Nothobranchius furzeri: one gene and its partners. The protein of the gene in region 1 interacts with the protein of each later gene in a pairwise test. Links are inferred from orthologs where the notes say so. Each region holds a gene or a part of one and is shown in the gene's direction. Other genes may lie near its edges.

The links.
Region 2: the proteins of golga2 (region 1) and ppp1r16b interact in binary tests that used the Homo sapiens proteins (3 or more experiments, as listed by UniProt). The two-hybrid records come from large-scale screens. The link is inferred for Nothobranchius furzeri from reciprocal best matches to the Homo sapiens genes GOLGA2 and PPP1R16B.
Region 3: the proteins of golga2 (region 1) and slx9 interact in binary tests that used the Homo sapiens proteins (3 or more experiments, as listed by UniProt). The two-hybrid records come from large-scale screens. The link is inferred for Nothobranchius furzeri from reciprocal best matches to the Homo sapiens genes GOLGA2 and SLX9.
Region 4: the proteins of golga2 (region 1) and poldip3 interact in a two-hybrid assay, tested with the Homo sapiens proteins (2 studies listed by BioGRID and IntAct). The two-hybrid records come from large-scale screens. The link is inferred for Nothobranchius furzeri from reciprocal best matches to the Homo sapiens genes GOLGA2 and POLDIP3.
Region 5: the proteins of golga2 (region 1) and tbp interact in a two-hybrid assay, tested with the Homo sapiens proteins (2 studies listed by BioGRID). The two-hybrid records come from large-scale screens. The link is inferred for Nothobranchius furzeri from reciprocal best matches to the Homo sapiens genes GOLGA2 and TBP.
Region 6: the proteins of golga2 (region 1) and rbm41 interact in binary tests that used the Homo sapiens proteins (3 or more experiments, as listed by UniProt). The two-hybrid records come from large-scale screens. The link is inferred for Nothobranchius furzeri from reciprocal best matches to the Homo sapiens genes GOLGA2 and RBM41.
Region 7: the proteins of golga2 (region 1) and syt6a interact in binary tests that used the Homo sapiens proteins (3 or more experiments, as listed by UniProt). The two-hybrid records come from large-scale screens. The link is inferred for Nothobranchius furzeri from reciprocal best matches to the Homo sapiens genes GOLGA2 and SYT6.

Annotation. Positions count from the first base shown.
Region 1 is NC_091746.1:54,869,445-54,872,944, reverse strand, and holds part of golga2 (golgin subfamily A member 2), read left to right. Parts: intron 1-252; coding exon 253-475; intron 476-589; coding exon 590-751; intron 752-843; coding exon 844-950; intron 951-3,500. UniProt on the Homo sapiens protein: Peripheral membrane component of the cis-Golgi stack that acts as a membrane skeleton that maintains the structure of the Golgi apparatus, and as a vesicle thether that facilitates vesicle fusion to the Golgi membrane.
Region 2 is NC_091743.1:61,208,466-61,211,965, forward strand, and holds part of ppp1r16b (protein phosphatase 1 regulatory inhibitor subunit 16B), read left to right. Parts: intron 1-160; coding exon 161-285; intron 286-3,500. UniProt on the Homo sapiens protein: Regulator of protein phosphatase 1 (PP1) that acts as a positive regulator of pulmonary endothelial cell (EC) barrier function. Involved in the regulation of the PI3K/AKT signaling pathway, angiogenesis and endothelial cell proliferation.
Region 3 is NC_091743.1:79,934,187-79,937,686, reverse strand, and holds part of slx9 (ribosome biogenesis protein SLX9 homolog), read left to right. Parts: intron 1-1,775; coding exon 1,776-1,890; intron 1,891-3,500. UniProt on the Homo sapiens protein: May be involved in ribosome biogenesis.
Region 4 is NC_091752.1:66,994,372-66,998,649, reverse strand, and holds the start of poldip3 (polymerase delta-interacting protein 3), read left to right. Parts: upstream 1-1,478; 5' UTR 1,479-1,589; coding exon 1,590-1,657; intron 1,658-2,213; coding exon 2,214-2,311; intron 2,312-2,387; coding exon 2,388-2,815; intron 2,816-2,925; coding exon 2,926-2,973; intron 2,974-3,066; coding exon 3,067-3,144; intron 3,145-3,217; coding exon 3,218-3,442; intron 3,443-4,278. Other genes in the region: protein FAM234B, read right to left, coding at 638-674. UniProt on the Homo sapiens protein: Is involved in regulation of translation. Is preferentially associated with CBC-bound spliced mRNA-protein complexes during the pioneer round of mRNA translation. Contributes to enhanced translational efficiency of spliced over nonspliced mRNAs.
Region 5 is NC_091749.1:35,000,480-35,004,645, forward strand, and holds the start of tbp (TATA-box-binding protein), read left to right. Parts: upstream 1-1,366; 5' UTR 1,367-1,497; intron 1,498-1,871; 5' UTR 1,872-2,027; coding exon 2,028-2,078; intron 2,079-2,781; coding exon 2,782-2,941; intron 2,942-3,064; coding exon 3,065-3,242; intron 3,243-3,376; coding exon 3,377-3,464; intron 3,465-3,673; coding exon 3,674-3,765; intron 3,766-3,876; coding exon 3,877-4,044; intron 4,045-4,166. Other genes in the region: psmc3 (26S proteasome regulatory subunit 6A), read right to left, coding at 2-340, 422-1,366. UniProt on the Homo sapiens protein: The TFIID basal transcription factor complex plays a major role in the initiation of RNA polymerase II (Pol II)-dependent transcription.
Region 6 is NC_091750.1:69,606,606-69,609,943, reverse strand, and holds part of rbm41 (RNA-binding protein 41), read left to right. Parts: coding exon 1-28; intron 29-138; coding exon 139-343; intron 344-3,338. UniProt on the Homo sapiens protein: May bind RNA.
Region 7 is NC_091755.1:39,508,325-39,512,343, reverse strand, and holds the start of syt6a (synaptotagmin-6), read left to right. Parts: upstream 1-1,219; 5' UTR 1,220-1,272; coding exon 1,273-1,429; intron 1,430-4,019.

The DNA of each region.
Region 1 (3,500 bases):
TCTCCTAACACAATGGATTCTCTGCTTCCTGATCACGTGACGTGTGACGTATGCGGATGAAGATCGGCTTTGGAGCTGAGATGTTTGTTCTCACAGTGCGGGGGCTCGTTCCGATGCCCACACCGTAAAAAAATGCAAATGATGACTTTTGTCGTCAATGGCAGTGAATGAGTTAAAATGAATCTCTTTTCCAAACCTTGAACATCAAAGCTCCACCTCAACACCTCTGCTGACACTCTGATCCCTCAACAGGAGGACTTTATTCGTGGTGCTCTGGCACAGCTAGAAGCTGAACGAGATGAGGTCAAGCAGTTACTGAAGGAAGAGCGCAGGCTCCACTTGGCGGCCCGGCAACAAGCCGCTGTGGCACTCCGGCTTGAGCAGCAACATCTAAACTACAGACCTGTTCATGAAAATGGTCAGGACCAGAATCAGGACCAGCACACCCATTGTGAACACGGCCATGAACTCCCAGGTTAGACACAATTAAAGTGGTTTGTATTGGATTTCACCAGGACTGCACCACTCTGACGAGTAAATTAATGTGACTCGCTTTTAACGTTCTGTGATTCCGTGTTAAACCCTCCAGATGGAGGCGTCCCAGTGGAGGTACATCAGGCTCTACAAGCTGCAATGGAGAAGCTTCAGCAGCGTTTCACCTCCCTGATGCAGGAGAAAGCTGATCTGAAGGAGCGGGTTGAAGAACTAGAGCACCGCTGCATTCAGCTGTCTGGAGAGACCGACACTATAGGTCAGGCTGGACATTAGCGTCATGCTGAAAATCCCTTTTAAATTTCGATTTGGTGTATATTCACCATTACTGTGTGCCTGTTTCTCCTTTAGGGGAATACATCGCCCTGTACCAGAGTCAGCGAGCCATCATGAAGCAGAAGCACCAAGAGAAGGAGCAGTACATCAGCATGCTGGCCCAGGACAAGGAAGAGATGAAGGTTGTATAGTCACTCGTGTGGATGCAGGTGTTTTTACCTGGTTGGAAAATGTTTTACTGTAAATATAATAAAATTATAATTAGCACTTAAAAAGTTAACGTGTTATCGTGAAGCAGTATCTGTGTGTACAGGAGCATCTGTTTGATTAGAAAACTCAGGCCAGACGCTTCCAAGACACAGCCAGTGTTAAGCCTGATTCATGCTTCTGCGTCAGTGCGGAGACACGCAACGCCATTATCTGTCCTTGCGGGCCTGCTGGAGAGTCCCTGCTAGGACGGATGGAGTCGAGCTCTCTTTTCTAAGCATCCATCCGTCAAGACGGAGAATGCAAGCTTGTGATTGGTCAGGGTACCGCTGTCGTCTACACCGCCGCCATTGCTCCCTCAAAAAAAAACATAAAGAGAGCCGAGGATAACTAGCGGCAGACACGAAGAAGCTTTAAGAATACCTCGTGAAAAAACTCCAAAAACATGAACGTTTAATTCCCCCGTGACTGGAGGAGTAAAAAGATATGCAGCAAGCATTTTTTTGTGGACGGAAATGACAGGAAACGTGGGTTTAGAGGTGGAGAGCCCATGAAAAGGTGGAGGAGAATGAGAGACAAATTTGTCTGTGTTAAAAAGTCTCCAAAAAACAATATAAACACACTATCTTGGACCGGATACATGACAGGATACCACAGAACAGCGCTACACCCTCTGTTGTCCTGGCGGGGAATTGCTTTCCAACACTCCCCAGGAGACGGAGAAGTATGAGGTCAAATGTCTCCGCCCGTGCGTGTCTCTCCCTTTTGGAGCTGACGGAGAAGCATGACTCAGGCTTTAGTGCCAGATTGTGTTGCTGCGTCAGAATCATCGACATATAAATATTGGACAATGGGTTTCCATAGGCACCAATAATACGTTTTTGAGCCAAAATGGGAGGTGGCCACCACCGCCATTTTGACCGTGTCACAGGTTCCGTCAAGCCCAGACAATTCCACAAAAGGGAAGAGAGGTGGAGCTGAGGGTGTGGCTGTAAGGCTGGGATCAACTGACGACACCCGGTCGAACTAGCTACAAGCTAACCTGAAGCTAACGCGGAGGTGGGAGCTAAGCTAACAGAGGTAGCAACCTAGCTACAACCGGAGTTAACTGTGCACAACACCAGAGCTTCTGAGTCAGAGATACGCTGGGCTGACCGCTGGGTAAAACCGGGTGGAACACAGAGATCTCCCGAGAGCTGCTGAAAGCCGGCAGCCCGCACAGCAGACAGAAGCCGCGATCAGACAGAGATGCGCCGAGCTGCGGGGAGGGGAGAACCGGGTGGAAAACATCGGTCTCCCGAGAGCTCCACAAGCTGATAGTCGGAACCCAGCTCCACCAACATGTTATATTTCCACCCATTTTCTAAAGTGCAACATTATGTTAAATGCACTGGGTTTTACCCTATTACATTTAAATTTCATGGTTAAACAGTACATGTTAAAATCTAAGCTCAGCTCGGCAGTGACCTAAAATACATAAATATAATTTTACTTACAGAAAAAAATGAAGTGCTGACTCCTTGGACGCTCTATTAGTGCAATTAATGCCACAGCAAGTCATTTTGTCCAACAATTGCACAAATAATATCCAAAAAAGAATACACAAACACAAAGACTAAAAATCCCGGAACAGTTTCCAGGCCAGGCCGAGGCTCTACTGAGGCTTTTCCCCAGAGCTAGCTCTGCGGTCACGTGGGTCTGATGCTCATTAATTATTCAGAATTTTAGGTCATTTAATAAACTTAAACAGAAGAGTGACTAAAAAATTCACCCCCCTCAGAGTTGTCATGATTGTAAACTAGATCTATTAAACCTAAAACATGTTTTGGTACCAGGCTGTAAACATGTTTATTTCTGCTATGAAATTGGTATTTTTAACATGGGAGTCAATGAGGATTTGCTCGCTTCTGACACCAGCCCCCAGCGGATGAGGGTGGAACTGCAATTTTTGGTACTTCCGGGTTGGGCTCAATTTTTGAGACGCATTGTGGGGGCTTGGTCAGAATGCAGGCGGTAAAAACTGCTGCCACCTAGCTGTCGGAGTTTGATTTGCACCACACAAAAAATATAGTAAATGTTTGCTTGGAAACTTCTACGTAAAAAATTGATTCACGGCTTTTAAATATCGATTAATTATCAACACGCTTAAATATCCCAATATTTACTTGTAGCAATATACAATACAGTAAATTCAGTTATGTAATTAGTGTAACAAGAGATTTTCATAACATTTTCAAAGAAATCTGGTCTCAAATTGAATGTTTTCCTTTCTTTTGCCTCTCTTTGCATTTTTCATCCCACACTTGATCGATGAAAATATATGAAAAACTAAAATGGGGAATGATACATACATTTCTACAGATGCTTGTTGTATAATATGCTGTAAACGATAATAAAGGAACATAAAACAAAAAGAAAAGTAAAATAAATTTCTAAAACATGAGAAGCATGAACTTTATCATGTTACCTACATTTATAATTTGCAATTAATTTGATAATAATCACGTATTAACTATGAAACTCAT
Region 2 (3,500 bases), on another chromosome or scaffold:
GAATATGACTGTGGGTTAGAGCTGTGAGGCAGCAGGACGATGGATTAAACCCAAGATGTCTTTCTGATCCTGTCGGCTACAGTTGTACATAAACCTGACCCCACCCCCTAAAAAATCTGTACTGGTTGATTAACATCTGTTCGGCTGGCTCTCTTGACAGGCATCACCCAGGAGATGATCAATGAGACGCGAGCGTCCACAGAGAGGAGGATGATAGAGGACATTCAGGAACTGCTGAGACGAGGAGAAGAGGTCAACCAGCAGGACTGTCAGGGAGCCGCACTGGTAAGCAGCTGTTCAAATGAGTTTTAAAGTTCAAACCCCTCATTATTGCTTCATATAAACATTAGAATGTAAAATCTGGTGTCTTTAGGATTTTGTGTAAATGTTTACTGTACAGACAGACATGCAAACAGTGCTGGTGATTGACGGCATATCAACAGATTATTTAAGTATCTCATTCACTGAGGAACCGTGCAGTACTCCTTCTTTTTCAAATAGGATTGGTCACTCTGAAAACTGTCTTTGGAACTTTGGCTCTCAGACCGGGGATGGCTGTGCTGATGTAGCAGCCAGGAGAGAGCTAGTAGAAGCTAACCACTAGCATTAGCAGTTAGAGTTTAATTTGTAGAAATAAATGAGTATTAATGAGTAAGACTCATAATCCTGCTGTTTTCCCAATCCCCAGTCCTGCGGTTAATTTCTTCTTTCTAAAACAGGAGCGCCAGAGCTCTTTTTCCACTGAAAGGTACTCAAGGTATTCATTCATAGTAGACACCACAGCAGTTTCATATAAACATTAGGGAATGAGAGCTCTAAAACTTTCAAGCATGGTGGTAGCAACTGATGACTTGGGTTTTTTTTTTTTTTTGCCTCAGAATTCGTACACCTCAGCAAATCAACCATAAACTTTCCAGAACTAACCAGACTATCGTAGAATCAAATATGAGACCATCTGTCCAAGAGCCTGGTCAGATCTGAGTCGTGGCACAAGAATGTCCCTCATAACAGACGCAGCAGCAAAAAGCAAAAGTTAAAGTTCAGTCTGACTGAAACCTAAAGGCAATAGTTCATGATGACTCGTCTATTGAAGCAAAGGCCCTCCACAGAATTATGGGACTGATGATGTCATGCAGAAGAATATGCTCACATATCTGCTAACAGTGGTTCTTTAAACTGTAGGAATCTTAATTTTTGCTCATTAGTTATACATTTCAGCTGAGATTCAGCTAAATAAATAATGTAACCTGTAAGAGCCCATTAAAATTATTATGTTGAAGGCCATATCATATTTATTGGTTCAGTAGTTAAACTCTTTCCTGCAGTTGGGCTAGTTTAAGCTATTGATTGCTAATACTGAGCATAAGCCTCTAAGTGAGATCAAGCAACATCAAACCAACTGATGCGAGGCCCGTAATTAGCGTTATCCCTCTGAGAAGGTTCTGGGTAACTTTCTGCCCACACACGCCGCAAGAAGAACAAAAAGTGTTTCGTAAAAATGAAAATTTAACAATCTTCATTATGAATGCACTCTTACGTTTGTCCTGTGCAGCAGCGTCTCAGGAGAATTTAAACCCTTCAGAGCTAATCAGGCATCAGACGGTCATAATCTTCTCAAAAGCAAGTCAAATGCACTCTGCTCATACACAAGTTATCTCATGCTGATTTTCACCTAAATACTCGCTTCAAAGTAGTAAAATGTAGTGAACACGTAGTGGTAAAAATGGGCAATAAGGAGAAATGGAAAAACACACATTTAGCCTGTTTGGCATCTTATGTTATAAAAGTAATTAGTTATATTTACAAATGACTTTTCCAAGAAGTGATTGAGTTAGTAACTGAGTTACCACATTGCAAAAGTAATTATTAAAATAACTGATGTTACTTTCATGTTCTACAGTTCATATGGATATCTGGAATGTAATTTCTGCTCGGAACAATGGAATTAAACGTATCCAGTCTGCCTAATAAATGTTTAAAAGGCCACCTTTAGGTTTTTAGGGATTCTGGGACATCTCAAACTTAATTCCTACTAGTACAGTTGTTGTTATTGATATCCTCAATTATAACTTTTATATCAACATAGCTGTTGATGTCTTCATTTGTAATGTATATGCAATTAGTGCTAGGATAAAATACATTATTGCTATACAGAAAAGGAATTACAGAGAGATCTGATGTTGAGATTAGAAATAACACCGTTAGTTCCAACACTTTGTCACTAAAATGTACGTTTTTCAAATTATTTTAATTAATGTAAGTCAATCTGATGTCACGCCATGATATAACGCACCTTTAAATCTAACTGAACAGCAAGGTTTGTGAATGCTAAGGCAATACCTGTTTGAGCAAATATTGGAAAGAATTCCAGCATGCTTGAGAATAAAACCTTGGAAAAGCCCAATTCATCATTCCCTAAATACTCCATGTTTATGTAAGTCAGCACTCTGTGTATTAATTAAGGGGTGTAGTGCATAAATTGGTCCCTGAACTTGTTTAGCCATTCAGAGCAGTGATGCATTCAAACAGGGCTCAAAATGGATCATCTGCATATAATTTCCTGAGAAGGATGTATAATGTCGGAGACCTAAATGGAGTCTTTATTATGCATCATGGATTTAGCGACGGTGCTGAAACGCATGGTTTCATCCCAAAATAACCCGGTTAATCTCTGAATTCGTACCACAGATTTGAGCGGCTTGTCCCTTTGCTTTATGCATCCTGTTGATCTTTGTTAGAATGATGAAAGCAACTGCATCATGACTTATAAACGAGAGCTTGATCCGGACAGAAATCTGACTCAATCCTTTATTTTTTATCCTAGTTGCAGCACGAGGTCAACATTTTCTGTTTGTTTTGAATCCAGTGTGGGGAAGGTAAATCTGTTAAATCTGGCTCCGTTGATCATATCCTCCCCCAGTGGAAGAATAATTTGACTGCCACAATCGGACCTTCTATTATTAACGTCTCAACCGTGTCCAGGCTTTTCTGTTCGAACATATTTATTCGTTTTGCATGGATGTGTGTAGAACTGTGGCCCAGATGTTGCAGCTTGTTGATGTTTACGTTGAGCTTAGAGCGACTCCACTCTGCACCTCGCTTTGACCCCGACCAGCTTTAGCTCCTTGTGGAGTCGGAGACTCCATGAGGGCATTTCGTATTGCTGGGGTTCCTCCACACACTCCCACACAAATATTCATGTGCTTCAAAAAAAAAAAAAAGTTTCAATCAAACAAATTAGAGTTAAGCTGCTGAGCAGACTTTAGAGATTTGTTTAATGTAATTGGACTGCTGTCATTTTTAACTGCTAAATCAAAATACATCCATATTTTTCCTTAGCTGGTTTTTGATGTTTAACGTTCAAATGAATGTAATACAAATAACATAAAGTAGATAATCGGCAGAATTACACTTATTGTTCAGTAAGGGAAAATATAGGTCTGAAAATTAATGTTTGTTTATGAGGTTCTCTGCACCTGCTCCTCCAGTAGCAGCTCTCT
Region 3 (3,500 bases), on another chromosome or scaffold:
CGATTCAAATGTCAAAGGTACCCATCCCTACTTACCAGCCACTGTGTCATCTGCTGAAGTTGCCGGCGGCACATGCGCACTTTGTTGTTTACAACCAAAGCTAACGTTAGCGTTTTAGCTAAAATACGTGGGTTGAGGGAGAATGCAACGAGTCGCTATATAAAGCAGCCGCAGTGCCGCTACCTGCATATAAACCGTGTCGCAGACACCCCCATATTGAAGTGACGCTATGCATTACGGAACTCCCAGGGGCAGATAAGAGTTGGTCTCTCTCCGAGAATAATTATGAATTTAACAATGATTACTGCCTGATGACATTTTCCCAAATCTGCAAAGCTCACTGGAAGGACACAAACCGAGGACAACATTTTCCTGATACAGGGTTTATTACTCAAGTAAGGGTAAAAAAGTATCTGATTAGAAGGCTACTTGAGTACTGAGTATCATCTGATTTAATGTATTTAAAATGATAACATCAAACCAACAAAAAATAAGAAGTTATGGGCAAATATTGGTATTTTAAAGACTAAAGGGGAAAAATGTAAACAAATAAACAACATAATTACAAAGTAACAAATTTTTGCTAAATTTAGACACAAACTGAGGACAATATTTTCCTGATATACAGGGTTTATTTAGTTTTCTGAAAATGTAACACGTTTAAAATAAATACCGCGATAATACCGAAAACCGTGATAATTTTGGTCACAATAACCGTGAGGTTAAATTTTCACACCGTGACAACCCTATAAGGTACCCATGAGTATGTTTGACCGATGGTTTAGAACCTCTGCAACAATTTTTATTTAAAGGGGCCATCATAGAAAATCCATGTTTGGGAGCTTTTTACTATGTGATATTGTTGTTTCCTCTCGGGAAAGTCCCCCCAAACCCATTTTTGGCTGAATTCATGCATTTTCCTGTTTCAGCTGCAAAGTTAGAGTTTTACTTTGAAAATCTTGTAACTCCTCAATGGAAACATTTCTTGTCATCAGACCCTGTTCCTCTTCCGGAAGCTAGTGTCTGGTCTAAAAGCTGTCTCCTCTGGCCACCACAGGACATGTGGCTTAGGCAACTGCTGTGGTAACGGACTTGGTAGGCTAGAGGTTAGAATGCAGGGCTGGCATGTAGTTTTTCACAGGTTCACATCCTGGTCTGAGCAGTAACTCTATTTCTTCTTCTTTAGCTACACTTGCCAGTATGATGTTTTCAATCCTTTATTCATAAACTGTAAAATATAACTAATGTGTTTGTTTTTTTTACTTAGCCAGTGTGACTCCATGTGAGGTGAGAAGAATAAATCAACTAAAATGCTGCTCGGAAATGACTGAATTTAAAGATCTTTAGAGACACAAAATATTTAGTAGAAAATTATCAATAAAACTAAAATATATAAAACATGAAATCTTCTACAGCTGGCTAAACAAATTACTGCAGACACCACCGGGAGTTGAACCCATGTCGCCACATGGCAAACTGAGATCCTGACTCGTCTAAGACGCCGTTGTAGGCATGTTTTGTCAGAGCGGGCATGGGCAGGGATTCACTGAAACGAAGCGTTTCATAAATTCAGACTGACTAAAGCACTCAAAACTGCCGTTGCTCCAGCTGAATCACCTCAGCTAATGGTTTTGTTTTCATTGACAGTCATTCAGAGGTGTGCTAGCAAGATACGTTGAACATGTCTAGATAAACGGCAGCTTGTGTTGATGGTGTAATGTTCAACATGTGCATGGTGGTAAGGTGGTCTATTTTGTTGAACTCTAATGTTTCAGATTGAGGTTTGGAGCTCCCTCTCCTCTGGGATCTTTGCTGGCACTAAGATTTCTCCAGAAGTCCTGGTGCAAACACTGGATGTAGAAGAGCCTCCACGTTTAGTCTCTACAAAAGGTATGATGCTGTGATGTTAACTTGTTCCTGGGTGGCTAGTTCAGTTATCTAAGACTATTTTATATGCACTTCATTTTTCTAATGTTTCTGTAGAACACACGTGGACCTCCGATGCAGCACCTGAGTGTGTTACTCTTTAGTCATCTGTTACAAAGATGGTCATATCTGAAGATCACTGTGTTATGTTTAGAGCCTCTGGATGCTCAGGTGACCTTAGAGATCATTTGTGCAGCTTGACGATGTAAATGTTAATGTACCCGCGACTGAAGGAGTACAAAGATATGCAGCAGACTTTTTACTCTTGTCGGTAAATTACCAGAAATGTGGGTTTGGAGGTGGTGACTACATAAAAAGGTGGAGGAGAACAAGGGACAAATTTGTCTCTGAAATATTTGAATACAATAGTAAACACACTAGAGAAGTGCCTGCATTGATGGCATGATACCCCAGAAAAGCACTACGCCCCCTGCTGTCCTGGTGGAGAATTGTTTCACTGACACACCAACAGAGAGTCAGTATGTGTGTGAGTGCAGACTTGCTGATGGAGACGTATAAACTAGGCTTCACCCCGAGACACCTGTGCAGCAGACCATCACTGTCTGATCCAACAACATCCTCCTCAAGCCTCGTTACAGTGAAATAAAAATGGTGCTGAAGAGATGTGGATCTGGCCCGCTCCTGCAGCCAGCTGTGTTGTTCCTGCCTTGCTCAGCGGCCATTTTAACACCTAATAGGTTTTTTCAGAAGTCGTACCAAGTGCACATTAAGTAGTTTAGTTAAAAGGGGTTTGAATCTGATCAGATCTGTACTGATTTTCCATGCGGCTCACACCGTTTCAGGTTTATGTGGGGAAACTGGTGAGCTTAGAGCCATTCCAGGACCAGCTAGTCATTGAACCCACTGAGGTTAAAGAGTAAGTGTACAGGTAGTGATAACTTAAATGATCAGTTTGCTATGCTTCCAGCAAACGGCTTAACCCTGAATTCAAACTCTCTTCCCTCCAACGCAACAAGAATGTGCTCTTGCAATACTCTCTGTCACCTCACCACAAGATGGAGCACAAGTCCTAATCTAAGGTGACATTCCCAGTTATGCAGGTCCTTCTCAAAAAAAATTACATATTGTGATGAAGTTCATTATTTTCTGTAATGTACTGATAAACATTAGACTTTCATATATATTAGATTCATTACACACAACTGAAGTAGTTCAAGCCGTTTATTGTTTCTAATATTGATGATTTTGGCATACAGCTCATGAAAACCCAAAATTCCTATCTCAAAAAATTAGCCTATCATGAAAAGGTTCTCTAAATGAGCTATTAACCTAATCATCTGAATCAGCTAATTAACTCTAAACACCTCCAAAAGATTCCTGAGGCTTTTTAAAACTCCCAGCCTGGTTCATTACTCAAAAACGCAATCATGGGTAAGACTGCCAACCTGACTGCTGTCCAGAAGGCCATCATTGACACCCTCAAGCAAGATCTTAAGACACAGAAAGACATTTCTGAACGATAGGCTGTTCCCAGTGTGCTGTATCAAGGCACCTCAGTGGGAAGTCTGTGAGAAGGAAAAAGTGTGGCAGAAAACGCTGCACAACGAGAAGAG
Region 4 (4,278 bases), on another chromosome or scaffold:
TGTGTTAACATGCGCTCTACTTTGCAGAAAATATGTTGTTAGTCCTTGGGCAGAGTCACAATTAAAAAAAAACTATATGCACTAAAAAACTTGATTTGTAAAAACTTAATCTACATAAATAATTAATTAAAGTACTATTAAATCAGTCCAGGGGGCCCAACTTGATATTTTTTCATGGGGCCCAAAATCTCTGGCAGCCCCCCTGGTTGTAACCACATAATAATAATAATAATAATAATAATACTGTTGTAGATAGCAGCCATATCCCAAAAACCTCGGTGAATTTATTTTTAAAACCTTTTTCCTTCGTAAATAAATGACTATTTCTGAGCGGACAGGTCTAGCAGGGAAAAAAATGGAATGCGGTTTTTATGCGCATCATCATCATCTGCGTTGGATAAACATTAGCTGGCATTAAAACCCGCTGGTTGCATTCACGCATTTTAATATCCAGATTATATAACACTTTAACACACGTTAATCTGAAACGGCTGACATAATGAATGAAATGAATGGGTCGCATGCGCCATGCCGACACCTGAAAAAAAGATAACCGAAAAGCGTCGATGGTTTAAAAATGACAGGTTCGATTTGTTCTGTTTGTCTGAGGAGGAGGAACCGGTGTGGCGCATCTTACCGGGCAGTTTGAGGGCACGGGACAGAGCCGCAGCCATTTCTCCCGTGCGAGGGACACCGACTGAGAGACTGAGAAGAAACAGCTCCCTAGCTAACTCTGCCCAAATGCATTCTGGGAGTTTGAGTTTGTTTACATCACAGCTTCCAAAATACTACGATAATAATACCTATCTAGAGTGACATCAACAAGCTAATGTAAATTCTTTAAACTAAATGAAGTATCAGCAGAATTTGAACATGACTGAGCCAATTAACGTCTAAAGATTTAGAATGGTTTTTATTTTTTACATGATAAGGTTCGGGCAAGGTCCTAGTCCCACGAGGCATCTCGCAAAGTAGGCGAGTCACCACAGCAGGCAGACCTGTACCCGTTCAAAAATTCTTCTCGTAGTTTGAACGAGGATACGGGCGTCACCCCGCATCGTTATTTTCCTTACTCATCAGTTTAAGGCATAACCAAGTGAGTTCCGATCATACCACTAGTCACAACCACATGGCATTCTCTATTATGGTGTCACCTGTGAAAGCTGTCAACAGTTAACCATGTGGACTTAAACGAATATATTGCTTTTTAAATAGTAATATTACGTAAAAATATGTTTTAACGTTAACGTGAACATCAGGATTTGGGCAAAACATTTCACATTTGTGGTGGAAATGACGCAAAGGCTCATGGGTATTTGGCGAGCTCGAGCCTTTGCTTTCAGTCAAGGGTAAATGATCACAGATTGTTCACAAGTTGATTTGGTTTCTTCTCTGTTTAATTTGTTATGAAGAAAACATGGTTTACCTCTTTCATGTTGTTGATTTAAAATGGGGGGAATCAAATCAAAGCAAATCGAATCATCCTCAAATGCACAATCGATCTCTTATTTGGCCTAAAACTGCTGTTTAGGTATCTTCCCTAGGCGGCGGTAATATACGCAGGCGCAGTTGAAAAAGTTTGAGAGAAAATGGCAGACGTTTCTTTGGATGAAGTGATACGACAGCGCGGTATTGACCGCAAGATTTCAGTCAAACGGTAATTTTATTACAATTAAAATGAAAAATGCTTCTTAAGACAAGCGCGTTGGTGTTTTAAAAGCATAACGCGCTCCCGTTCGCCTTTTTGGGACCGCATGCTAACGATAGCCTGTTATGGTTAGCTACAATCCCGTCCCAGGCTAAAGCAAAGCTGTTAGCCACAGGCCTCAAGTTATAAATCACGTTATATTAAAATAAATTAACCTGTAGTGTAATTATTTAGCTTGTTTAAACGCATTTAACTATAGCTATAATGGGCGTTTGCGGGTTATTTGTTTTGTAGCTTCACTGGTTCATATTAGCTAGTTCTTTAGCTAATATTTATTCGGGATTTAGCCGTGCTTGGCTAAGACCGCTGTTGCTAAAAGACGTGCTTGAAATCCCCTGGATAATTTAATTGTATCGTTTTATAGCTTCACGAAATAGCAGTTAGGCGACCCGTAAATATATTTACCTTCACATATTTAACTTACGATAAAAAGTCTATTCTACTAAAAATTCCACAACTTGAGAATGCGTTTGTGGTTTAATTTGAAGTTTGATTTTTCCCTCAGGCCCGTATTTGGACGAGGTGGAGGAGGTGATTTGAAAAGTTTTGATGCCAGGCAGAAAATTGGCCTGAGTGATGTTAGACGTCTTGGAGGGGGAACAGGTAAGGTTGAGTCTTCAGTGCTGAAAAAGCAGTGCCCAGTGAGCATTTTGCTGTTGAACTAATTATCGCATCTCAGGTTTTCAAGTCAAAGATGCCAGAGAAAAACTGGTTCAGAAAGATGCTCGGTTCAAAATCCGTGGCAGGGGAGGAGCCGGAACAGTGCAAGATGCTCGCCAGATGATCAACTCACGGAAACAGGGGCAGGTTCAGCGCAGTGTTTCTGTGCAGCCCACACTAAAGGCAGCCATAACGCAGCAGCTACAGGGCAACACACTTGTGCCACACATACAGATTAACACCAACAACAACATGAGCGGTGCAAACACGAGGCAGTTTACTCCTACTGTACAAGGACTGAGTTTGAGGGGCAGCACAGCATCACAGCTGAACAACAACATAAGAGTGATGGATGCCCGTGATAGACTGAGCCTCAAAAGGAGCATTGGAGGAACACAAACACAAGCAACTGCTGGCCCACCTTTACAAATAACAAAGACTATACAGGTGAGGATGGAAAAACTCATTTGGATCATTTATGCCACCTGCACATATATGGTGTTTATGAGCCTTGAAAGCAGAATAGGCTTTTTAATATGTAGTGTATCTATTTGCAGCAGCGTCCCGTGGGAGCTTTGGCCGGAATACGTGCAGCTACTCAAGTGGTGCGATTCTTTTTGTGCTCTAATAGAACAATATCCCATATCTGCTGAAATCTATTTAGGGATGTAACTTAATAGATTGCTTTGTTTTCCCAGCCTGCCCCAAATGAATTTGATGACATCCCTAGCAAACAAATAAAGATCACAGCCGCCAACGCAATGCTGCAGTCACGGGTGAGCTGAGTTCGATCGTCAGCCAAAGTCTTGTTTGTTTTCTACAGTAATTGTTTATGTTTATTTCATACAGTCTGGTACAGTAGGTTCAACATTCTCCATGACAGCCCCGATCACCAAGGTGGTTAAAAACGATGCCTACACAGCACCCCGTCCTCCCGTCCCTGTGAATCCCACCCGTCCCAACACCAACATGGCTGCCGCCCGGCCTTCTGCTGCAGCAGCACTACAGCCGGTCTCCAGGACTCTACAGCAGAGTGCAGCAGAAACCAGCACCACAGCGCCCACTCCTCCTCAGGTAAGCACTGTGTGCTTTCACTGACCGGCTAGGTCATCTTGTTGTGTTAATTGTGACATAAACATCTTCAGCATGAGAACATTTGTCTTTAGGTGAGACTGTCAGGCTAAAGGACCACGGACGTGACCAAAAGTTTTGTTTCTGGGTGAAAATCAAAAGAGTGCAGCCGGTTTAAGCCCGTTTGTATTCTCTACTAGTTTTTGTTACAGTTCCAAATCTGAAAGTGTTAATCTGTCTTGCTTGGATAAGTTAAGGGTACATTTTTAGCCTTGTTTATGATTTAGCTTCACTTAAAACATGAGACTTCTGCAAACCTTTGTTTCCAAACTGGATTTCGTGAGCTGTTCTTCACATAACAGGACAATTGATCTGCATTTTCAAATTTTACCAGAGTGTAATCTGAGTACTCTACCCAGCTCTGCCGGTCACTACATTATATTCACCGCTCTTCCTCCCTGCCGGACGCGGGTGAGCACGGCGATGCATTCCTGTCGATTAGCAGTGCCGGCTATCTTGGATGTCTTTTACTCAGCGATGACTCACTCCTTTAACACCATCCTATTATTAAATTGTGAATTATTGTAGACGTTAAATGTAGCGGCTATTTGTCCATAAAACTTAAACAAAAAATAATCAAATACTTTCAAATGGCCACTGGGCTACGTCAAGGTTTAGGCTTTACGCACGGGTAAAAAGATTTCACATCAAGCAATGTCCATGCTAAAATTGCGTTTGGTGGTGGTTTATTCACACAAGCAGCAAGAGCACAGATTTTTTGCGTCCTCAGTCTCAGTGGTTAAAATAAAACCATGTCCCCTCACAGCCCTGGCTGCTCC
Region 5 (4,166 bases), on another chromosome or scaffold:
CTTAGGCGTAGTACTGAAGGTTTGCCTTCTTCTTAGCCTGGACCTCCAGGATTCCCTCCATGTAATCCTCGTGGTTCAGCTCTGTGGCTCCACGACGCAGTGCGATCATACCAGCCTCCACACACACAGCTTTGCACTGGGCGCCATTGAAGTCATCAGTGCAACGAGCCAGCTCCTCGTAGTTGACATCTGGACTTACATTCATCTTGCGGGAGTGAATCTGCATGATACGAGCTCTTGCTTCCTCATTAGGCATGGGGAACTCAATCTTCCTGTCCAGACGTCCTGAACGAAGCAGTGCCGGGTCCAAGATGTCCACTCTGTTGGTGGCAGCAATGACCTGAAAAACAGGAACGTCATTACTTGGGTTAAATTCTGGATTAATAAACTTTGAAACTGTTAAGGTAGTAGTCATGTTTACCTTGACTTGCATGTTGGGCTGAAATCCATCCAGCTGGTTGAGCAGCTCCAGCATGGTCCTCTGCACCTCTCTGTCTCCTGCCTTCTCACTATCAAACCTCTTTGTGCCAATAGCATCCAGCTCATCGATGAAAATGATGGATGGGGCTTTCTCCTTGGCCAAAGCAAAGGCATCCCTCACCAGCTTGGCTCCATCACCGATGAACATCTGGACCAGCTGTGGACCTGCCAGCTTCAGGAAAGTGGCCTTGGTTTGAGCGGCGCAGGCCCTGGCCAGGAGGGTCTTTCCTGTGCCAGGTGGTCCATACATCAGGACTCCCTTGGGTGGCTGAATTCCCAGGTTTTCAAATTTCTCCTTGTGATTCATGGGAAGGACAATAGCTTCCACAAGCTCCTGAATCTGCTTATCGAGCCCCCCAATGTCACTGTACTGCTCTGTGGGGCGCTCATCCACCTCCATGGCCTTGACTCTGGAATCATACTCGGTGGGAAGGGTCTCCAGGATCAGGTAGGAGTCTTTGTTGACTCCTACCAGGTCTCCGGGCTTCAGCTTCTCGGCATCTACCAGACCGATCACCGGCAGGAAGTAGGTCTGTCGCGTCGAGGTTTTAATGACGGCGCACTTTCCTTTTCTCTGGGAGTCCAGATCCACGTTAGCTCCGTCTTCCTCCTGGTCGTTGGGGTCCACATCCAGCAGCTCGATCACATTAGAAACTAAGTAAGGCAGCGTTTTGTTCACCTTAATCTTCTCCGTGTTTTCTTTGATTTTATCCTTCATGGCCTGTAGCTCGTGCGTCACCCGGAGCACCTCGCTCTTCATAATCTTTATCTCACTGTCGAGGAGACGAGTCCGCTGAACTATCTCCTCCGTGGACATTTTTAACACTTCTTCACCGATACCATCCTCCACTTCGTCCCAAACTGATTTGTCACTCAGCGACGCCATCTTTGCTGTGCCTGGTGTGTGAACTGTGACGCAGCGGAAGTTAAAGCTTCCTGTTCCGGTTAGCGCCGATAAGCAGACTGGGGGTGTCACGGAGCAGTAGCTAAGTTTGTGGACATTGTTAAATTTTAAAGGTATGTGTGTAAGTTGACTTAATATTTTGTTGTTTTCAGTCACAAACTTCAAAATTATTCGCAACTTTTTGACATTGGGAATTCGTTGTCACTAAACGTTGCTCCTTGTTGGCTAATATTAGCTTTGCGGCTAACTTCTGCTAGCAAGTGTGTTTAAACGTTTCATTTTGAAAGTTGTCAAGCAGTTCTTCTGAAATTGCAACGTTAATGCAGGACATGCTCTTTGGCATAAATGCACACTTGTTTAACAGGTTGTCTCAAGAATTGTGAATCATAAGTAGTTACACCTCCGCAGCCGCTGCAGAAAATGCTTTAAAACTGATTTGAGAGTTTGTGTTTGTAAACCGTGTTTCTGTTGATGTTTACTTGCGCAGGATAAGAAAACTAGGAGCAAGGAGCTACGAGAACGTGTTTCTCTGGAGTCCCATCCTATTTTTGTGGCATTTTTCCTGCTCAGGCCCTAGAAACGGTCAGATTGAAAGTTCTGACTGCTCTTGTCCGGCAGTGTTGAACCTTTAGGAGCTGAAGAGATGGATCAAAACAACAGTTTACCAGCCTTTCAAGGGCTGCCATCCCCTCAGGTAATTTAAATTAGAGAAACACATTTTTTTCTTTCATATTTTAATTCTTTTAGTTCTGTGTTACTTTCTTACATTTTTCCAGTTCATTTAATATTTTTACTCAAGTTTTCAAGATGTAAAAATGTATATTTTTATACATTTGATACAACTTTTACATCTCTTTTCTTCATCCTCTGTCTTTGCCTGTTAAAAAAAAAGCATTGGGACATATTTAAACACCTTGCTGTCATCAATTTGTTGAGTTACATTTACCGGAATTAATCTTGGTAACATTCCTTATTGCATGTCTGTTTAGCTGATATTTTATCCCAACAATAGTTTCATTTAAAACATTTATTTTCTAAGAGACAGACTGAATTTCACTGGCCTCAGTTTGTTTGTTGTGAACAAACACTCAGAAATCCACACACACCTGGTTTAGAAGCTTATGAACTTGACATGCTCAGCTCACTTTTCTTTTTACTGTGCAGCATCAGTCCTCTAGTTAAAAAGTTACTTTAGGCTTGGTACATTTAGTTATTCCTCAGCACAACAGACAGGCATTACATCAGCCACCATTATTGCTGGTGAGAGGGTTTTATTTTTTTGAAAATGAAATTTGAAGAAAAAGAGAAACTGTTACTGAAAGTCTTTTCTTGCCAGGATTTATGTGATCTTAATTGTTTATGCTTGTTTTTTGGGGGACTGGTGTGTCCTTGTGCAGGGTGCCATGACCCCCATGCCTATGTTTAGCCCCATGATGCCGTATGGGTCAGGTCTGACGCCCCAGCCTGTACAAAACACAAACAGTATATCTATACTCGAGGAACAGCAAAGGCAACAACAGCAGCAACAAGCAGCAGCAGCACAGCAGGCCAGCACAGGTACCAGACCAAATGTTGTTGGTGTTCCTTTTTATTTATTCTGAGAAATTATTCTTAAAACGCATTGTGTAATTTAATCTTTACTTCAGTATACAAGGACAAATGAAATATTTTGCTTTGCAGGTCTTCCTGGGACCTTGGGGCAGACTCCTCAGCTGTTTCATTCCCAGACAGTAGCAGGCTCAACCACAACCGCCCTCCCAGGAAACACACCGCTGCAGAACGCTCCGCTGACCCCCATGACACCCGTCACACCATCCACACCTGCTTCAGAAAGCTCTGGCATTGTACCACAGCTACAGTATGTCCCATATAAATTCTGTTGGAGTATTAGCAGCTAACGCTAAATACAAATGTGCAATCTCTGTTACATAAGTCTATGATCCTTATCCCAACCCTTCTTTTTATTAGCTTTTTTTTAAATTTTGCTCTTAGAAACATTGTGTCGACTGTTAATCTGGGCTGTAAACTGGATCTGAAGACCATTGCTTTGAGAGCCAGGAATGCAGAGTACAACCCAAAGGTAAGACTAAAATATCAACCTTTTGCTGCTCTGCTGTCTTTTGTAGCAGCTCGTAGGAGAGCTGTTTTTATTTACCGACTTTTTTCTCATCTGAAGAGTCAGATTTGCCCATTGTAATATTTCACACAGATCCAAATGAATGTCTGTACACCTAAATTCGACAATTTAGTCTAATCTGTAATAAGTTATTCCTGCTTTAATGTTTTTAGCGTTTTGCTGCCGTCATAATGAGAATACGAGAACCCAGAACCACGGCTCTCATCTTCAGCTCCGGAAAGATGGTCTGCACTGGAGCCAAAAGGTCTGAGTCAAATAATGTTTTTTGTGCTTCCTCATGCATGCAGATTTCCTTTACACTTGTGTTTTATCTTCTGGCTTTCTTTCTGGGCTAATTCTTACTCATGCTTTTTAGTGAGGAGCAGTCAAGACTAGCGGCTAGGAAATATGCACGTGTGGTCCAGAAGCTCGGGTTTCCCGCAAAGTTCTTGGACTTCAAGATCCAGAACATGGTGGGCAGTTGTGATGTGAAGTTTCCCATTCGGTTGGAGGGTTTAGTCCTCACACATCAACAGTTTAGCAGGTACGTGTTTTATTTATTAATCTTTCATAATCTTTGTGGTAAATATGTGATTGTGTTGCGGTTATTAAACTCTGAACACCGGTAAAACCCGGCAGAATCCCCCTGCAACGATGTAATTAACG
Region 6 (3,338 bases), on another chromosome or scaffold:
CAGAGACGCTTCAGAGGCAGCAGAGAAGGTAAAACTTCCAGAAAATATACATTTCTGTACAAAATTATACAAAAATGTGAGTTACAGAAACTCTTAAGTGATGCATGCTAAACAAACCCCTCCATTTTGCCTGCTCAGTCCCGCGGTGTGTGTCCAGCTCCAGATGCCAGGCAGCAGCGTCTCCAAGTCATCAGAGACAAGATGGACGCCAGGGCGGAACTGCTGTCCCGCCCTCAGCGCTTCGCCGCCAGCTGCCTACTGTCGCGCCGTGAGATGGAGATTGAACGAGCGCTGTTTCAGGGGAGCGACCGCCAGGGTTTCCTCTCCGCGCTCTACCACCGAGGTGTGAAGCTCTTTAGGAACCGAACAGACCTCCACATGAGGCTGTTCCTTCTTTTTTCTTTTGCTACTGTGTTTATGGAGATATGTTTATGTTTATGTATTAGCAGACGCTTTTGTCCAAAGCGACTTACAAGTGATAATCGGCATGTTGCCCTTGAGGCTAACAACAACAATAACAACAACAACTTGACATCAGTCATGGAGAGGAGGGAACAAAGGAGTGGATGGTAGAGAGGGGACGGGTGCAGGGAGGGTGCTAGTTAAGAAGATGCTCTCTGAAGAGCAGGGTCTTCAGGAGTTTCTTGAAAATTGAAAAGGAAGCTCCTGTTCTGGTAGTGCTTGGTAGGTCATTCCACATTTGTGGAACGATGCATGAGAAGAGTCTGGATTGTCCTGAGCGTGGTGGAGGCACTGCTAGCCGACGATCCTGTGATGACCGGAGCAGCCGGGCCGAGACGTAAGCCTTTGCAAGAGGATTCAGGTAGATGGGAGCTGTACCATCTCGGACTTTGTATGCTAGTGTTAGCAATTTGAATTTGATGCGTGCTGCTAGCGGTAGCCAGTGGAGCTCAATGAACAGAGGGGTGACGTGTGCTCTTTTTGGCTGATTGAAGACCAGACGCGCCGCTGCGTTCTGGACCATTTGAAGAGGTCTCACCGTACAGGCTGGAAGACCAGTTAGAAGGGCGTTGCAGTAATCGAGGCGGGAGATGACAGTAAATTGCACCAGGAGCTGGGTGGCATGTTGTGTTAGGTATGGCCTGATCTTTCGTATGTTATACAGCGCAAAGCGGCATGAACGGGCAACAGAGGCAACATGATCTTTAAAGGTCAGGTGTTCATCAATCACAACACCCAGATTTCGAACTGCCTTTGAAGGAGCCAGAGATAGGAAGTCATTTTGGATTGAGATATTGTGCTGAATGGATGGTTTTGCTGGGATGACAAGTAGATCAGTTTTAGAGAGGTTGAGTTGGAGATAGTAGGATTTAATCCATTTTGATATGTCAGAGAGACAGTTTGATATTCGTGCAGAGACAGTGTGGTCGTCCGGTGGAAATGACTGACAGAGCTGGGTGTCGTCTGCATAGCAGTGGTAGGAGAAGCCATGTGATCGAATGATCTCACCCAGTGAGGTGGTGTATATGGTAAAGAGAAGAGGTCCTAGTACAGAGCCCTGGGGGACTCCTGTGGCAAGATGGTGCACGGTAGAGGACTGTCCAAGCCAAGAAACACTGAATGATCGTCCTGTGAGGTATGATTCAAACCAGGCGTGTGCTTTCTCTGTGATGCCCATGGTAGAGAGTGGCAAATGCAGCTGATAAGTCGAGCAGGATAAGCACTGAGGATTTGCCTGTCGCTCTAGCTTCTTTAAAGGATTCTGTCACTGCTAACAGAGCAGTTTTAGTGGAGTGGCCCTTTCTGAACCCAGATTGGTAAGGGTCAAGCAGACGGTTTTGTGAGAGGCATTCTGTGATCTGCTTGAAAGCCACCCTTTCCATGATTTTGGACAGAAAAGGGAGGAGAGAGATAGGTCGGTAGTTCTCCACATGATTTGGAGGAAGAGATGGTTTTTTAGCAGCGGTTTAACCTGAGCATGCTTGGGAGAGGTGGGAAATGTATCGGATGTCAGTGAAGCGTTGATCACATGTGTGACTGCTGCGGCTACTGTAGGAGCAATAGCTTAGAGCAGCTTAGTCGGAATGGGGTAGAGGGGGCATGTAGTAGGGCGGCTGCACGTGAGAAGCTTGGACACACAGTCCTCAGTGAGAGGGGAAAAAGGAAAATGAAGCAGTAGGGCTTGAGATGGTTGGGCTAGAAGGAGTTTGTGGTAGCGAATGCTCTGGAGGGGCCAGTTGAGTAAACTGCTTATAGCTGCCACTTTGTCAGTGAAGAATGAGGCAAAGGTGTCAGTTAGGGCTGCTCAATTAATCGAATTTTAATCACGATTACGATCTGAGTTTTGAACGATTATAAAAACAAAACAAGCCGATTATTTGCTCCTCCCACTTGCGCTGCCCTGAGTTGCAAATGAAGCGCTCCTCCCACAGTGTTGCCAACTTGGCGACTCTGACGCTATTTCCAACAGCTTTTCAGACCCCCGTCTTGACTTTTTAAATCTTAAAAGTACCTAGCGATCACCTCACAAACATCTCTGGTAACCCTTAGCTACTTTCTGGATAACTGTTGTTGACATTTCTTGCAGGTTAGCTAAACACTCCGCCTGCGCTCCGGACCGTTCTTCAGGACATTAGGAAAGGGAATGATGTAGTGATGTGTCGGTCGCTAAAGAAATCGCTCTCAGAGCCGGCTCTGTTGGAGTAACCAGAGTGAGTGACACACACACCGCACCTGCGGACTCCTGAGCCACTAAAAACGGCTAAATGTGCGGCGTGCTAAACACACGTGCAGCTTGCCCTGATTGCTGAGACCGGGTTGGGGGGTGGGGGTGCAGCTGTGATTGGGACAATTATTACATTAACTGATGGACGACTTGTAAATAAATAGTTTATAAATAAGGTAGAAATAAGTTCCTCACGCTGATAAATAATAACTAATCTCTCTGAGGACACGGTGCTAGTGCACTCTCCTACAGCACCTTGACATGTCTAAATAAATGTTATGCAACATTTTGTGAACATCAATTTATTTGCATTTATTTGTTATAAATGCCACTGTATAATTCTTGCTGTCAGTATTTGCAAGATATTGGTATTTGGGTCTGTACTGGTTAGACTTAAATGAGTTAAACCAAGGTCTATAGCCCTTGGGTCGTAGACTATGAGCATATTGGTCTTTTTATACTGGGAATCAGGAGTTATTTTAGTGATCATCTTGTTTCTTATTTCTTTTTGTCCTGATTGTGCCCTGAGCAATTTTATGACTGAATAAAACAAATAAAATCAACATAAATTGAAAAATCGTCCTAAATAATCGAGATCTCAATTTCAGTCACCATAATCGTGATTATTGTTTTTGCCATAATCGAGCAGCCC
Region 7 (4,019 bases), on another chromosome or scaffold:
TAAACCAGAAATATACTCGTTTAAACCTTAAAACTGCAGAATCAAATTTTGCAACAACTGAATTGGATTTACTGATTATAACTGGCTTTATTCTGGACCTGATATATGAATGAGTTCATTTTATTAGTGCTTTGAGATTTTCAGCGTGAACTGGTGCTTTAAAAACAATGTGAGTTTAACTAAATCGTTTTATTGCAACTCATGAATACACGTATATAAAATTGGTATTGCTGACAACAACCAAACATAAACACAACATATTTAAAATTTATGGCAGCCATGAAACTGTAATAATTGTAATAAGAAACACTCTGTTGTTAAATTCAAATAAACAACTGGATTGTTTTGTGTTTTAACCCCATAACTTCATTTTAATTTTTTTTACAAATTTGCACCTCCAAAAAAAAAAGCTAATAAAATGCGATTTTTCTATTTCCTCCTTGATGATAAAAAAAGATCTGAAATAGAAATGCAGCAAAATTTCTGCTCGACAACAACAAAACATAATTTCGTGCATCCTGAGGAGTCTTTATTGCAGGATTGTTGCTTTACGTTGCGTTTGTCTACAGAGTAACGACTAAGCCGTTACTCCAAGGGATCTCTGAACCTTGTTTTCTCCCGTTGTCAACGCCTTTCTCGCACAAACAGTTCTAGCATGATTTCATGCTGTAAGCAGATATCGGTGCAGTAGGTGGGACATTGGCGGTCACAGGAGGCTCAGCCCAAGGGAAACCCATCACCTGAGATGTTCTGAGCCCCGGAGATCAGTCAAGTCAGCCGAGTGAGCCGACCTGCGATAAACAAGGCCAGCGGACATTACAAAGAGTATTTTTTATTTGTTTTTAAGTTTCGTGCACAGGCAGATCAGCGCAAAAGGTCTAATTTTAGAAAACATAGATATGCTGCAATTCTTCTACTCTGATATTACCTGGGGACTAATGTGATTCACATGTGCACACGATATTGCACACAAACACATGCTCATACAACACAGGCCCCGCTAAAACACACACACACAAACACACACACACACACACACACACACACACACACACACACTTGAGTGTATCTTTGTATAAACACTAGAGAGAGTGGATGAAAGAGAGTGTCTGCCATGGATGCAGACAAGTTGCATTTGTCTTTTTCATGCTACGTCTCCGTGTGTGTGTGTGTGTGTGTGTGTGTGTGTGTGTGCTTTGGGGGGTGGGGTGGGGGGGTAGTGCGTTAGTCCCTCTTGGATGAGCACACACGGCTCAGGATGCGGCTGGGAGCATGAGTTCTGACCGTGAGGAGTATGACATGCTCTGTCAGAAAGCTGTAACCCTCCTTATTGACCTCTGCCTGCTCAACAGTACCGTGCTGGATCAGGACGCCTGTCAGGATTTCCTGTTGGCACTGACCAGTCAGGACTCGGACCACAAAGACGCAGGTAGGCGAGGATCTACAGCGCAGAGTGTACAAGGCAGCATGTGCTCCGTAAGGCGACATCTGCTCCCTGGAGGATGGCTATATAATTAATTTGTTGAATAATTTTTTTCTGTCCTGTTTATGTTTTTACTGCTATTGTCCTTATGTGTGAACTGTGGTGGAGGGTTCAGACAGAGTTTCCTGTTCCAAGCCATCAGGACACCCATGAGTTTTCAAAGTTATTTCGTCTCCTCAGTTTGAGCTTCTTTATCCTCAATGGATCAAATGTCAGCTGATGTCTGAAAAACAAGACGGAATTAGAATTTAATTTTGTGCGTTGGTAGCCAGCAAATGAACACGTGCAGCGGTTGTACAAAAGCAGAAGCATTCAGGGCTAATCTGCTAAGTTTCAGCACCCTGAATGAGATGTCTGACTTATTCACGAGGGCTGATTTACTCATCTGTTGCAGCCTCGTGGATCTGTTGCTCTGGCACATGTGAGCTCTTTAGGTACATTTCAACTGCAGCCTGTCAAGCAAAGCCTGAGTATTTTTACCATGTGTGTCGATAATTAAATTTACACCCTAAAAGGATTTATTTGTCTGTCTGTGTGTAAAATAGAAAGAATCAGGATGTACCAATCAAGACTCTTTGGCCCAATATCAATCCAAGTCATTCAGGATTATCTACTTGCATTAAATCTGAATCCAAGTCTTTAACTATATTGGTTTTTATTTATTTTACAATAAAAACATTAATGAATGAATAATTTTTGAATAATCTAAGAGCATTCTTAACAGACTTATTCTTGACAACATTGGTACCTTCCTGAGTGAACTATTATACTCAGGGCTGCTGCTGGTCCAGGCTAAAGAGGTGGTGGTGGTGGTGGGGGGTGGGGGGGGGGTGGGGGGGCTTTGCAAATTTCCTTGTTTGTGACATCACAAACGGGGCTTTTTGAAATGGCTCGTCTTAGGATGTAATTCCTGAAGCAAACACTGGCAGAAAACAGATGGACTTTTTGTTAGGTGTGGTGTGTTTATAGAGGCAGTGGAAACCCACCTTGCAGTGCAATAGGTGAGTTCTGCATAATACTATGTCCCCTTTAAAATTAATGCATGTGAGTTTTTATGGAGGATCACTGAGTAGGGAGACAGTATATTGACACAGGTTACAGGGTTTCTCATTATTCCCATTCACGGGTGTCTTAATGTCACAATATTTTATAATAATGTTTTAAAGAACAGCAGTTGCTTTGCCTGGGCTGCCACATTACCGTGGTGGAGGGGTTTGAGTGTCTCAATGATCCAAGGAGCTAAGTTGTCTGAGGCTTTATGCCTCTGGTAGGGTCACCCATGGCAAACAGGTCCTAGGTGAGGGATCAGACAAAGAGCAGCCCGAAGACCTCTTATGATGAATTATATAAATGGAAACCGTGTTCCCTCGCCCAGACGTGGGTCACTGGGGCCCCCCTCTGGAGCCAGGCCTGGAGGTGGGGCACTTTGGCGAGCGCCTGGTGGCCGGGCTTAGCCCAAAGAGGAAACGTGTGTCCCCCTTCCCATGGGCTCACCACTCGTGGGAGGGGCCAAAGGGGTCGGGTGCATTGTGTGACGAGTGGTTGTTGAGGGCGGGGACCTTGGCGGTCTGATCCTTGGCTACAGAAGCTGGCTCTTGGCACATGGAATGCCACCTCTCTGGTGGGGAGGGAGCCTGAGTTGGTGTGAGGTTGAGAGGTTCCGACTAGATATAGTCGGACTCACCTCAACGCATGGCTCTGGAACCAGTTTCCTTGAGAGGGGTTGGACTTTCTACCACTCTGGAGTTGCTCCCACTGACAGGCGCCGAGCAGGGGTGGGCATACTAGTTGCCCCCCATCTTGGTGCCTGTACGTTGGGGTTTACCCCAGTGAATGAGAGGGTAGCTTCCCTCCGCCTACGTGCGGGGGGATGGGTTCTGACTGTGGTCTGTACTTATGCACCAAACTACAGTTCAGACTACCCACCCTTTTTGGAGGCCTTGGAGGGGGTACTGGAGAGTGCTCCTTCCGGTGACTCCCTTGTTCTGCTGGGGGACTTTAACGCTCACGTGGGCAATGACAGCAAGACCTGGAGAGGTGTGGTTGGGAGGAATGCCCCCCGATCTGAATTCGAGTGGTGTTTTGTTATTGGACTTCTGTGCCAGTCATGGATTGTCCATAATGAACACCATGTTCAGACATAAAGGTGTCCATATGTGCTCTTGGCACCAGGATACCTTAGGCCGCAGCTCAATGATCGACTTTGTTGTTGTTTCATCTGACCTGCGGCCGCATGTCTTGGACACTCGGGTGAAGAGAGGGGTGGAGCTGTCAACTGACCACTACCTGGTGGTGACTTGGCTCAGATGGTGGGGGAGGATGCCAGTCAAACCAGGCAGGCCCAAACGTATCGCGAGGGTCTGCTGAGAACGTCTGGCAGAGTCTCCTGTCAGAAGATGCTTCAATTCCCACCTCCGACAGAACTTCCAAAATGTTCCGGGGGAGGAGGGGGGCATTGAGTCTGAATGTACCCTGTTCTGTGCCTCCATTGTTGAGGTGGCCGACCGGAGCTGTGGTTGCAGGATCATCGGTGCCT